Schizosaccharomyces pombe: one gene and its partner. Changing the gene in region 1 together with any one later gene gives a genetic interaction. Each region holds a gene or a part of one and is shown on either strand. Other genes may lie near its edges.

Region 1 (8,371 bases):
TACATTGTGTTTTATTGAACTCGTTTGTATTATTATGCCTTTTGACAACATGACGACAATTCAAAACAAAAGAAAAAGGCAACCTATGTTTTAGTTTATACCAAGAAAATGGAACCTAAAAAAATTAAATCCTCTCATTGTTTTGCTTTGCGTCTATCGTTTTGTAACGCACCGACACGCACTGACATACCAAGTGACTTGCTACCTCAGATTATCTGGGGTAGACTTCGGTGGTTAAAAGAAGGTTAGTCCGTGGATTTCACTCCCTTCACCCGCATCTTCCTTATCAGGCCCAAAGGGAGTTAAACGAGTTACGCTCGTTGCGATAACATGTAAGCTACGCAGTTTGGTATCTGATTTAAGGATACGTAGAACTGCGGTGAGTTTTCCTTGTGGTCTATTATATTACAATACACAGGTTGTATAAGTAGCAACTGAGTATAGGTATTGTATTAACTGGGTTATAATGTTACCTATCACTAATATAGCTCATAACTGAACTGAGGAACGAGGTTCAGTTGTAACGCTATTTATAATATTTCTAAATACTTGTATCAACGGGTATCTATGTATATAGAAGGATAGTTACCCGTGATTATCAATAAACGGATCTTAGCTAGTATTCCAACATATGACATATAGTGATACGCAACGTAGTGTAGCATAGCGTAGTGTAGTATTGCTGACATAACGAGAATTTTCGAGATATAAAGAAGAATAGGTTTTCAGTTCATTCAAGTCAATATAAATGGATAGAGATACATAAAATAGAAATTTTAATTGTAGTCGCATTTTATTTTTTATTATTAGTAAAATAATATTTTACTTTGCCTCGTACCATATAGCTCATTCACAGCCTTCCAATGTTTCTAAACTGAAGAAGACTGGAAAAAGGCGAATGTAAAGAAATACAACAGTATAAACGAGATTGACTGCTTCCCAAAATGATTTTTTAAAAGGATGTTTGTAAATCTGCTTGTATCCAACACACTGGGCATACAGTGAAAAGTTATTCTTATGAAACCAATGTGTCAATACGCTTTGTAAACAATGACAGAAAAGAATGTATCAAGAGGTAATGGTTGTAATTATCACGTTATAGATAGGTATGTAATTATTGATATAAATCAAGAGAAAATGTATACGTATCCAGGAATATCAACCTTTGTCGTACACATTATTATGTGTGTGTATGTGATATAGCAGCATCAAACTGGTTTGCTAGATCTAAAAACATATGGACATCTCTTTATGGATACGTATAGATGCCAAACTTTGATGTATGAAGATTTTGACGAGCTAGGCCAGCAAGTAACTCAACAGCCGCATGTACACCATCAATGATGGGAATATTGGGACCTACGGCAACCTGAATCTGATCACGAATAGCTGCTAAAGCAGCACCACCTAAACAAATGACATCTGCACCCTTTGTGTTTGCCAGTTCTTGGGCCTTTTGGACAAGAAGGGTTTCACGCTCTTGTGAAGGCATTTGCGAAAGTTGCAAAACTGTGCGACCTGTAGAAGCAATGGCGGCCACTCGAGTGCGCGAAACACCAAAAGAATCGAGTAATTCGTAAAGCAAACATTCGGAACGATATGTACTTGTAAGGATGCCGATGCGCTGACCAACCGATAAGGCACTGAGGACAGACGCTTGCACAATGCCCATGCAGGGTAAAGCAAATGACTCACGAATCATGTCGACTAGAGGAGTGGGGGAATAACAGGCAACAGCTATAGCATCGACACCATCCAAGACACTAGGAGTTAGGGCTTGGAAGACTAGAGCAGCTGTCAAGGTTGCCTCTGTGATGGAGTCGATGACAGCAGCACCGGGTTGAGGACAAGTTAGAAAGCGCAACTTTACATCTGAAGGCACTAGGGGAACGAGTTTTTCTTCCATGGATGTTGTGATGAAGGTGGAAGAGTTTGGATTGATGACGAGAATGGTAGGCATGATGAGAGAAAATAGAAAGGTAAGAGACGAAGAGAAAGAAGGTAGAGAAGAGAAAGCGAAGAGAAAATAGTAAGAAAAAGAGCAAGCAAAGGGGAAATAGTAGAAAAAAAAAAAGTAAAAGAGAATGTTGAAGCTGAATTTACAGAGACACAAAAAATAATACAGTTTATTGGAAAATAAACCTTTTTTCTAAACTGTTTGTCAAAAACTAAAATTGAAAAACCAGTGTCACAATTTATTATAAAGTGTAGAAAATCGAGTTTCCAACAAAATGGCTTGAAAAACGAAAAATATTTTTAACAAGTAATGACTAAAATAGATTTGATCGTTTGTTTGGTTTTTGCTTATTTACTCTTAGTAGACTAGACTCGACTAGACAATCTATTTCAAGGTTGATGACTAAAAATGCTGTTTCAAGCTGCTGTAGACTGCAATTGAAATTGTCTACAGAATTGATAAGACGCAAATCAAGTGTAAGGGGTTGTTTGAGTAAACTTGGAAACTCCGTTTCCAAGTTGTTCAATGTGCACTCTGATAATGAACACAGTCGGACCCGAAGAGGAGATGAGACTGATGACTAGTAAACAGCGTCAGTGAGTAGCAGCAACGATGGTACTGATAGTATAGGTGATTGAAAAGTTTGTAGGACAATGTTGGATTGCTATGCTATACTTGAGCTGCCTTTGGAATGTTGGTCAAGCAAAGCACAAGCACCACTAACCACCAGACTTACTACTAGCGCTGTTAGGATTATGTAATTGAAATATTCTCATTTACCTGCAAAACGTTAAATCTTCTATATGCACTATCTCCCACTTTACTCTTTTACCGATTCTTTCCCACTCGTTCTACACTTGCAAACTCGAGTCCGAAGCCCGTTCCAACTCGCACCCTGTCCCACTAAAAATCGCACTCCAGAACATCGGTGCTTAGTCTTCTGGTCAAGAAATTTCCGCCGATTGTCTTAATGAATTCCCCTCAAACCTCAATTTAAGTCATCACCTAGACGGACGGGTGCGACTTGGGTATTCCCCCTATCGATGCCTACTTCTTCCAATGACCTTTACCAAACAAGACTTGATGTGCAGACGCCAAATCGATGGTTTCTTTACATTTCATTAGAATTGTTTAACAACATGTATTCTCCGTTTCGTAGCAGCTCAGTCTTACTCAGTGGTGCTCAGTCCGATATACCGAAGGTTGGCAAATGCTTGTTTTTGCCATGCCGCTCACTCGAATTTAGAGCATCGGCAAACTCACTTAGCGTACATTTCCTACTCAATGTAATTTCAGCAATCTTATCTATGTTGATAGAGAGGTATGCGGTAGAAGTGATAATGAGCAAAATTACATGGCCCAGGAGTAATGAGGATTGGAGGTTCCATGGTATAAAAGGTTGATGTGAATACCATGTTGTCTCATCAAATCAAAAGAAAAACTCACTGAAGAGAATCACACTGACCATTGTTCGTCTTGTGCTTCTGCTACAATTGATTTGAATTGAAGTTCATAATAATACCTGGGTGATACAACATCTACGTAAAGTCTTCAATTACTGCTACTCTCCGTAAAAACAACTAAATATTCGTAACTTTTCTCGCTGTCCCAGCTTGTTTACTTGCTCCGATAGCATTGTGCATTATTGACTTGTGTAAATTTCCTTTCAAATCTTAGTTTAATTTCGTTTTGAACAGCCAATACCCATCGTGTGTTGCTATAATCCATTGTTATAGATTTTCGAAAAGAAACAAACATTCGAAAACCACTCTACGCCATTGTTATCAATAAACGAAACGATTGTTGTGAATTTTCGACTTTTGCTCCTCTACTTGTCCAAAGTTGAACTCTACTAGTTTAAACGTTTTTAAGGTTATCAAGAATACCTTTTTTCTCATATTTTTTTTTCAATCCTCCTTTATTACTCGTTTCGTAAGAGAACCCATCTTGTTTCTTACCAACTTTTCTTTAAATTCTTCGTTCAATCATGTCTGCCACTGCTACTACTACGGTTGTGGAACCTCCTACCACCACTTTGACTGGTGCTACCGAGCCACCATTTACTGCTTATACCACTTCTCAAGGTCTTCGTGTTTCCCCTGTTCCATTGCCGGAACACAATACTGATGTTGGATTTGGTGCTTTGATCGAAAATGTTGACTTGAATAACCTCTCGGATGAACAATTCGAAGATATCCGTAAGGCTCTTTTCGAACATCAAGTGGTTTGTTTCCCCAATCAACACAATTTACCCCCAGAGACTCAGTACGCTATCACCCATCGCTTTGATCCCGAGTCTTCTACCTATGGTCACGGCAATCGTACAAATCAGCAAAACAACAGCATCTTACATCCCGATTTGCACACCCTTCCCGGTGTTCCTCAAGTACAACTCATTGGTCATGGTGTTGTGAAGGATCATTACGGTCTTGAAGAGGTCCGACTTAAACATCCTCATCATCGAACTTTCCATCGTGATCCCATTTCTGAGGAGGAAGAAAAAGAAAAACAAGTCACCCGTTTTTATCGTTGGCATATCGATGCTGCCCTTTATGACTATAACCCTCCTGTAGTCACTACCCTTCTCGCCGTTAATGCTCCACAAGGCACCCAAACTCTTCGATATGATGATAAGTCTGGCCATGAGATGCCTGTTCCATTAGGTTCGACAGCTTTCGCCTCAGGCTATCGCATGTACGAATTGCTCACTGACGAGGAAAAGAAGGTGGCTGCTCGTACTCGCGTTCAATATTTCCCTCATGCCTACGTTACAATCAATAAAGCTAGAGCCCTTCCCAATGGTTTGGGTATGTATTCTGAGGGACTTGAGCTTGACAAGTCTGAATTACCTCCTTGGGAGGAGAGCAGGGTTAAAACATTCCCTCTTCTTTGGAAAAATCCTGTAACCGGAAAGCTTGCCTTGCAGACTCACGGATGCTGTGCTGAGAAAATCCTAATCGACAACGAAGATGGCACCACCACTGTGATCGATGATCTTCCTAAAGTTCGTGAAATCTTGTATAATTATCAACGCCCTGGCATCAACCCTGAACGTGTTTATTGTCACGATTGGAAAAATGGTGACTTTGTTATTTTCCATAACCGCGGTGTTACTCATTGTATCACTGGTGCTTACAGAGATGATCAGACTCGTATTTTCCACCAATGCAACCTTGCTGCCTCTCATCCTCCTGCCGGGCCTTCTGAAGAAGACATTGCTGCCATGTAAAGTCCTATTGAGCTCAACTTTCGTCCCCCCTCCCCTTTCTTGTTAATATGCAATTTTTATTTCTTTAATTCTTTTTCATTTTCCTTTTAGTATTATGTATAGCTTAGCTTCTAATGATTTTTTTTATTAATTGCAAAATGTCAATAGTTTTCATCAATTTCTTTTCAGTAAGTGTTAGTGCATAGTTTTACAAAAAATATATTGTTTTTGTTACTGTTTCTATTATTCTATAATTTTAGTCCAGTTTATAATAAACAACTTTTGATCCATTCGACTAACAGACAACTTATAAAATAACTTTTTGTGAATCTTCAAGCTATGTTTTCTAGTCTTATCATACAATATTCCTTTAATAAAACGGCAAGCGAAACTACCAAATTGCGTGTGCGAAAGTAGAATTAAGATAAAAAATCATCAGTATTTGTACCCTTTAAATGTTTTATTAAATGTCTATTTCAGATCAACTATCTATTAAAAATAACAAAAAAAGAGTGTATGCATCCTAAATAATCGCATCGCGCTTGAGATGGGAAAAAACGAGAGCTCGTAAAATAATCGTTCCAACGTAATAAAGAATAAAACAAAAATGACAACTAAAAATACAGTATTCATTTCTCTTTTTCCTTTAAAGAGGATAAACAAAGTTTAAGTTTTCCATGTCAGTTAAATCCAACATAGAATTATCAATCAGTACTTTGACGGGATTGCCGAATTCATCCACTGTGTCAACATAAGTCTTTTCTATGGTTTCCAGACTGCCTTCCGCAATTTTCTTATCTTTCAATTCCTTTCTCTGCTTATTGCGTCTTGCCAAAATCACTCGTGCTACCAGGTAAATTATGGGTGTGACAAACCATGCAACTACGATTTGCACAATCCACGCCGGATAATATCTAGGTGCATCACGGCTTTGCCATAGCTGAGGTGAAATGATGTTGGCAATGGCATATCCAACCATAAACATCAAACCACGAGTCAGTTTTTTCGTATAGCCAGTGGATGTAGCAGTGGTCCATCCTAAAGCAATGATGTATGTGATACCAAAATCGGATGCAATAATCATAGTAGCCAACTCTCCAATTCTGTTGGACCAAGGCAGGGCTACGAAAGCAATACCTCCAGTAATACTGGGCAGCATCCAAAACATAGCATGGTATGCACTTTGATTTGGAATAAGATACATGGCAAAAGTAGCAATAATAGCGCTCACAGTATTATATCCAGCAAGAGCAACGCCAACTAAAGTAGAATTGAGGTCTGAGACGTTTAAACTTGTAAAAATAAGATTTTGTTGATAAGCCAAGTTGTTAGAGAGCATGAGTGTGAAGGCGGCAAAAGTAAATAGCCAAGTAATTGGATCTTTCAGCGCTTCTATAAATTGGTGCTTCTTGAAAATCTTGTTTTCAATTCCACCCCTAGTGGACTTGCGTACACGATCAATGGTATACAATTTTTCCTCGTCAGTTAAAAATCTGGCCTTTGATGGATTGTCTGGATAGTAGAAGAAAAGGAAAATACTTAAGAAGAATGTAATACCACCGGTAATGATCATAAAGAGCTTCCAGGGTGCAATGCTTTTCGTGACAAACTCAAGGCCATAGGCAATAAAACCAGCAGGAATACCGCAGCTTAGACATGAGATCCAAAATACAGGCTGCAGAAATGCCTGTTCTTGATGAGTAAAAAACATGCCCATAGTAGCCTCCATAGCTGGTAGTAAGCAAGACTCAGTAAAGCCAAGGAAAAATCGAAGGGCAATAAGACCTCCGTAATTATAGGCGCAACAATGCAAAAAAACGATTACACTCCAAGAAAAGGTGACAAGGCCGACAAATTTTCCAAGAGGAAAAGTTTGCATGATGTAGTGACCGGGAAATTGACCTACGATATAGCCGACATAAAACAGAGTATTCAAATTATTGTATTGATTGGAGGTGATGTGTACATCATCAAAAAGACCCAGAATAGTTGAATAGCTAAGTGTCGCCTTACCAATGAAAAGCATCATATCCAAAAAACCCAACATTAGCAACAAATAAATGTACAGTTTCCACTTAAGTTTACTCTCTTGTTTAGGGGTCAAGGGATCCAACTTCTTGGCATCTTGCATAAAAGCAAAAGTTTCATCGATCAAAGAATTGTTTATTTTTTTCCCACCAGCTTTTTCCACGTCGGCGATATCCTCATCAGAGTCAAAGGGTTTAGCAATTGTAGTATCAACGGCATTTTCCTTTTTCTCCAAATCAAGAGAACTCGAGTCGGTGGAGCCCTGTCTTATTTCGTAACCCTCTTTCGAGGAAATCGATGCAGTACGAGATGAGATGATAGACTCGGTCATTTCAGCAAACGAATTGAAATGTATAAAATAAGAAAATCAAATAATTCTCAATAAAAAAAAATGAAACTGATTTATTTCACAGACCAAAAAAAAAAAAAAAAATTTTTTTTCAACTTCAATCGAGAAGTAAATAAAAAGCTCAAGGGACGATAATGTTTTTCAAGTATGAAACAACGACCTAGCAGATGAAATTGGTATTCTCCTTAACAAATATATAATGGAAGTGCAGCAGCATTCGTTTAATATAAGTAAAAAGTTAGATAAGCACGCCATGAACCCCTTGTGTTGGCAAAGGAGATCATGTCGATAGATGAATGCAAACTCAAGCTGATTATGGCATGCTAACGTAGTATAATTAGCCATAATTATGTGTACATTACCCATCAAACATATCAAGTTCGCTGCTTAAAATTGGTCATCCAAAGAGTGACCAATTTTGGTTCCCTAATTAGGCGAACCCAATGCTTATGGTTTTAAGGGTTAACGTGAAAATAAGGTCAAAAACATCACTTCAAAACGTTGTGGGAAGGGCAATGTTTTCTACTGAATCCGTCTGAACCATGTTAATGTTAGTTCGTTTGTTTGAAAAAAAATTTTGACTAACAATTGTTTGATAATGACTTGTAAATTTCCTTACACATGTCGAAAATATTAAAAAAAAAAAAAAAAACACACACAGAGTAAAATTTCGAGTATAAGATTGTAACACCTTCATTTCATCTTATCTATCCCATCTTTCAACGACAACAAGTCCTTCCAGCAATTCCCAGTGAGTAAGTGAAGAAAAATTACACATCGCAATTTTAACCGAATGAGGAAGTTGGTTGTTGCTGATAACGGATGAAAT
Region 2 (6,270 bases), on another chromosome or scaffold:
ATTTGAAAATTTAGCACAACAGTATTTTACCGATGGTGTAGAGATGCGCAGTGTTCGTAAATCCTCTGATTTACGTCGCAGCTTGAGTGCAGCCAGCCTTTCTAGTCTTTCAGATAGCTCTAGAAGAAGTTCATCAGCGGCGAATCCTTTTCAGAGCATGAGCATCACGGAATTTGCAGAAATGTTGACGAATATATATTTTTCATCATTGGAATGTCTGCGTCGCATTCGCAGCCAAATAAAAGTTTTAATAGATATTTTATCGAAAAAAGATACTAAACAATATCACCTATCTGTGATTCTTAATGATTTAATGGCCACGAGTTCCGATGTTGTTACACAACAAGTGACAACTATTAATAATCTTCGATTTCGAGTCTTGGATACTTATCCTCCTAATAATGTTATATACCTTTTTTCTTTACACATAATTTTTCATAATGAGCTTGAAAGTCTTTGCGGAATCACACAAAGCTCATTTATTCCAACTATAATGAGGCAATTACTGGACTGGTTTAAAAATTTTCAACGATATTCTACTCAGAAATTGGCATCAAGCTTTGAAAGGGAGCTATGGGAAGCGATACCTGTTGAACCATCCTGTCAAGATCTAGCTAATCGCGTGTTTGAATGCTCCGGTAATACTCCCGTAGAATGGACGCGACTATTATCTCCTGAAGCAGAAAAAGAAGATGAAAATCATAGGGTTCACCATGTAAAAGTTTCAGAGGACTGTACTGCTACGGTTTCGTTTGGAAAACAATCATTACATATTGTTCGGTCCTCTGTTACGTTGTTAGAAACATTGGATGATTATGGTAAACTTCTTGCTCACTTTTCAAGATTGGCTCCAGAGTTTCAGACTGGTATGCTAGATATGTTTCGTACACTCAATTCTCGGGTTTATCAATTAATATTGGGAGCGGGGACAGTGCGGTCGTCTGGCCTTAGTAAAGTACTTGGGAAGCATATTGCACTTGCCTCTCAAACTATCGCATTGTTTCAATTATCCCTTAATTCAATGTGCAGGTACTTGTCAAGAGTAACAGGAACTCGACTCACCAATGAAACTAATAAGTTGGATCAAGATTTCACCGTTCATCACTTACAAATTCATGATAAGTTTGTTAGTCTCATGAGGGAACGAGTTGCTATCAGTTGTTCCCAGATTGCTTCTCTTTCGTGGGATATTGACAGTCCTCATGGATACATTATTGATCTTTCAAAAAGTCTTATAAAGCTCTACAAAGTTTTACATCGCTACTCACAACGTGACTGTGTAGAAGTAATACCAGATGTAATTCGGATGTTCGAAGATAGACTGCAGTTGGAACTTACGGATATTGCAAGAAATCCATCCAAATGGCCAGGCGTTCGTATTGATTTGTCCTATTTTTATGACATGATGGCATCTAAATGCGGATATGCAGGAGACCGGACTTTATTGGAAAAATTTGAACGTACTCCGGAACAGCAGGAAGCGGCTTAAACATTTGTTTCGTCGTTTTTTGTAATCTATTTTAGTTCTTTTCTTGACAGGTATTTTGGTTATCTGCTTTTGTGCTCGAGTTACCGTCATATTCTTTGGAATTTTACATTTTGGTTTAACAATTTACTAACCTGAATGAATTCTAAGAATCCAAAAATTTTGTTGCAAGTTATGAACCAAGCAGCTTCTCTATAAAATTCTCCATTCTATCGATAGTTCTAGTATTCACAATGACGAATACAAATTCACTTATGACTACTAATCGGCCAGTTTTGATTTAGAGTATTACTCATTTAATTCGGAAATCTCATGGGAGCGTAATGTTTTCGACCGATTTAATTTCTTTTCATCTTCTCTCATTTATTATTGTTTTTATCACCTTTATTCAATTCCTTATGAAAATACTCATAATTGATTTAAGTGTATCAGTCAAATTCCTTGCTATATTGAGTAACTTGTTACTTTGGTAGTAATAGATTAGATATATTGGCTTGCACCTAAAGCCTGAAGTAACCTTTTCAATCTTTTGGTACAATGAAATTAGGCAGATTTTTAGAAAACGGAAGGGAGCAAATACGAAATCTCCTCTTAAATGCTTCGACTGTATCGTCTGCCCCGTCTTTTAGCTTTGTTAGTGGAAATGAATCAGCAGGTACATTAGTCGTAATAGACGAGAATTAACAATTCGTCTTAGATCTTGACAGTTGCGCTAGTTCAATCGTATATGCGTATTGCCTGCAAAGAAAACAGCTGGGTAGGATTGTAGTACCTTTTTTTAACATTCCTCGAAAGGAGCTACGTCTTAGGCCTGAACTGTCTTATTTGTTGAACTTAGCATCAATATCTTCCGATGATATTGTCTTTTTAGATGATATTGTAAAATTACCAAAAAGAATATTCAGTAATCCTATTTATTTAGTTGATCACAATTCTTTGGACCGTAAAGACCTAGAAAATTTCAACGGCAGTATCGCTGGTATTATAGATCACCACAAAGATGAAGGGGGATCCTTACATGCTGATCCAAGAATCATTGAGGAATGCGGTAGCTGCTGTACTTTAGTTTGCCGATATTTTATGCCTGTCATTAGATCTCTATATGATTCCAAAGTATCTGAACTTCACCAAACAGCAACCAACCTTGCTGTTTTGGCACTTGGCCCTATTTTAATTGATACTGGAAATTTAAAAAATGAAAAGACTACTGATACCGATGTTAAAATAGTAAATGACTTATGCTCATTTGTGCCAAAAGATTGGGTTCGAGATGAGTTTTTTGATACTCTGAAAGAGAAAAAGAAGAGCTGTAAGGGTTTTTCTTTTGATGATCTACTACGCAGGGATTTAAAACAGTATTTTCCGGACGGAATAGTCGTCAATTATGCCAGTGTTGGAAAGGGATTAGATTGGATCAAGAAAAAACGTCTCGGATGGGAAGATGAATTGAAAAGTTTTGCCGAAGTGCAAAATTCTGATTTGGTAATTGTTGGGTTATCTCTGAGTAAGAACGACGAGTTTGGTCGTCAATTGATTTTATACAAGCGTACTGAAAGGGGAGCTGGTCTTGCCGATTCTTTCTTAAAACTTAGCAAACAAAATTTAGGATTAGAAATTATTGAAGAGAAAGATAATGGCGACCTCAGTATGTGGAATCAAAGAAATTCCGCTGCTAGCAGAAAGAAAGTAGTTCCCTTACTTATGGACTCAGTTAAACAAGTCGCTTCAAAATAGTTACTGCTTTAGACTCCATTGTGATTTCTGTTCTGTACATTTTACGATAGCTACACTCATCAGTAGGCTTATGATAGATTTTAAATTTTTTTAAAAGGATATATATTATACATCACATTGATCTAAATTTCTTACTTTGTAATCCCAAGATCCTTTTATTCAAAAAAATCACTGTCATCTGATTGATTATTTTGTAGTTCATCGTGGTAAATAGACTTGTTTGAAGAACTCTCTTCTTTTAATCGGTCGATTGCTGAACTCTTGAGCAACCGAAATTCTAGGAGTGAAGTTTCAAAATCATCTTTATTACCTAAATCAGCAAATCCGATAATCTTATCCACGAGCTGAGAATTTACGTAGCAAAGTACGGCTGGTAATACTTTGAGACCCAATTTGACTACCAAAAATGGAGCGTTGGCTGCTTCAATACGGATAAACTTAGTTTCCCAATGTACTTTGGCAATTTTCTGAGAATGTTAGCGTAAGCAATAAATGGAACTCCTCGTACCTCTAGATGAGAGTCTATAATTTTGCAACGTATAAAATCAGGGTGGTAAAAATGTATAACAACTTTTTTTGATGAACTAAAAAATAATTAGTTTAAAATAATCGAAGCTAATGTTTTGACATACAGCGTAAAATCCATAACTTCGCGCTCATTTTCTACAGTAAGAAACTGCATGTGTCCTTTTTCTTTTGCAGCTTCCACTCTAGCGAATCTGAACGGTTAAATTCTTAAAATCATTTTAAAGCTTTTTCTTACTCTTTTTTTAGCATCTCCAATCTCTGTTCTCGATAAGCAGTATCATCAAATTCATCCAACTGTGAAAAGAGCGCATCTTCCAATTCTGAATCACTTTCGGTTGCAGCTTGAGTAGCATACGTATCAGCGTAAAGATCAACTGTTGGGTCGTTACTAATGTCAACATTAGACATAATATGTACGCTACTGTAACCTACCTATTATGCAGTTCTGGTTCATTGTAATCCTGAGTATCCTCCTTTCTTTCAGTAACCTTCAAAGCTTCATACTCGTTGGCGATTTCCTTTTCCAAAGGAGATTTCATAGAAATCCAAGCAGGCTTGTTTTCTACAGGCTGAACGTTTGTCAAATCCATTTGATAACCACGTTTACGCGGCCCAAATCCATGGGATGCTGGAAAAGATGTCATATAAATTTCTTCAAATTTTCTAACATCTTCATCAAAGTTTCCCTCTTGTATGGAGGCGCGGATTCCTTGAAAAAAGGCAGTGAAGGCATAAACATTGTGTCTACAAATCGTTAGCTTTCTTTACCATGCTCTTTAATATAAACATACAGCTGTAAAAGTATCCAAGCAACTAGCTCTCTAGCCTGTAACAGATGCCTAACATAAGCGCGTTTGTATCTACGACATGTTTTGCAAACGCAGCCGGATTGCAATGGTTCCATGTCAGTAGCAAACCTTTCGTCCCACATATCCAAGCCAAGTTCAATTTTAGAATTCAACACATCTTTAGAAGGAGGCGGGAAAGAGAATGTAAGTGCAACACCAGCATCAGTAGCTTGTGTTATCATATCTGGAACAATAATGTCAATTCCTCTTTGAATGCATTTCAGAATTTCGAGTGGTGATTCAAATTTTTGAATACTCAGTCTTGGGAGACCAACCAAATCAGCTGGTAATGGATTGACATTGTTAGAAAATGCCAAGCCAGCAATGTTGTTAGCAAGTTGATTTTCTTGAAAAAACTGGAAAATAGGCGTAAGGTACTGAGTGTCCAGATCAGGAACAGGGAAAAATACTTTAGTAGTATTGAAAGCGTCCGTCGCTTTGAGTGCTAAAAGCAACTCAGTTGTCCAATTGACAGACCGTTCCACAATTTTTGGCTTCCTTTTGACACCAGGAGGACTAGTTGGGGTATCATTTAAAGGAATTACTAATTCAGGACAAAGCTTTAGGACAGCTTTAATATACAAGTCATTTGTCAGTTTCTTTGCACCACTTGCAGTAACGATATTAATATGACTTTGTCCTGCAGAAACAGATGGCAAAGGAGATGTTCTTCTTGGAGCAAGTAAAGTAGGTTGGACAGAGGGTGCTGCGATCCATTTTTTGATAGTTCCCTCATTAGTCAAGATTGGTGAGGCTTCCAGACGATCCAAGCTACAAACATATTAGTTAGAAATTCAAATTAAAAAAGATATGATAAAGCATTTGAGTCCTAAATTTAAACCTTACCAATCCTCCAACCCTACATAGAGAGCAGGAATATCGAATTCTTCAACATTGTCAGGTGTCAAATGAGGAACAGTTCCTCTGGAAGTAGGAAGGAAAAAGCAAGGAGTCTTCAGAACCTTGTTCTTCACCGTAACTGAAGATACGCGAGCCCCTGAAGGACTAGATAATGAAGAAATTGCCATCAATAAATCGCAAAATAAAGCTGCAAAAGTTTTGCTCTATTTACACATGTACGATATCAAAATAACGATGGTTCACTGTAGCACATTAAACGAATATTGCTATATGAATGTTTTTTAAATTTGAAAGATATTCAAACACAAAAGGTCGTCTAAACATTCGATTTATAATGTTGTAAAATAGCTTTGTTTGGATATCAGTAGTCTTACAAAACTGAAAGTTTTTAGTTAAGTAAAAAAAAAAATATCATTACATAAATTATAGTAAATTGTTTAGACTTTTTTTAAAGTTTTAAAGTAATAATAAAACATGCAAACAAGAAAGAAACAATGGAATAAAAACATTAATAACGGATAATTTTGCGACGGCGGAAGTCCTTTTCATCTGAAGCGATGTCATATAACGCTCTTCGTTTCATTTCTTTTTTCTCTTTTGTTCTTCGTTTCATTTGCTCCATCTCTTTCCTGGTATATCGCTTGTTTCTCCGTTCTGCCAGTAAACTTTGGCCATTGTGACTATTCAATGAAGAATTGATGTCAAAGTACTGTTCCATATGCTTATGTGCTTTGTTTTCTTCACTTCGCAACTCTGGTGAAGCCCATTTTGGCATAAACTTTCCAGATAGGCGATTGAACTGAACTTTCGCTG

What was found.
Region 2: mutations in xan1 (region 1) and ppx1 together harm fitness more than expected from each alone (negative genetic interaction), as found in Schizosaccharomyces pombe (one large-scale study listed by BioGRID).

Annotation. Positions count from the first base shown.
Region 1 is NC_003421.2:2,076,236-2,084,606, reverse strand, and holds xan1 (alpha-ketoglutarate-dependent xanthine dioxygenase Xan1), read left to right. Parts: upstream 1-3,944; coding exon 3,945-5,186; downstream 5,187-8,371. Other genes in the region: SPOM_SPCC576.02 (hydantoin racemase family protein), read right to left, coding at 1,250-1,960; SPOM_SPCC576.19C (uncharacterized protein), read left to right, coding at 3,001-3,360; SPOM_SPCPB1C11.03 (cysteine transporter), read right to left, coding at 5,812-7,524. UniProt on the Schizosaccharomyces pombe protein: Alpha-ketoglutarate-dependent xanthine dioxygenase is a non-heme mononuclear Fe(2+) enzyme that decarboxylates alpha-ketoglutarate to succinate and CO(2) while hydroxylating xanthine to generate uric acid. Allows xanthine utilization as a nitrogen source.
Region 2 is NC_003424.3:3,944,555-3,950,824, forward strand, and holds ppx1 (exopolyphosphatase), read left to right. Parts: upstream 1-2,000; 5' UTR 2,001-2,023; coding exon 2,024-2,141; exon of another isoform or gene 2,142-2,183; coding exon 2,184-3,220; 3' UTR 3,221-3,375; downstream 3,376-6,270. Other genes in the region: GARP complex subunit Vps54, read left to right, coding at 1-1,489; plp1 (thioredoxin domain-containing protein), read right to left, coding at 3,376-3,687, 3,729-3,804, 3,853-3,939, 3,984-4,136, 4,181-4,392; qtr2 (queuine tRNA-ribosyltransferase accessory subunit Qtrtd1/Qtr2), read right to left, coding at 4,503-5,367, 5,443-5,624; splicing-associated factor Saf2, read right to left, coding at 5,966-6,270.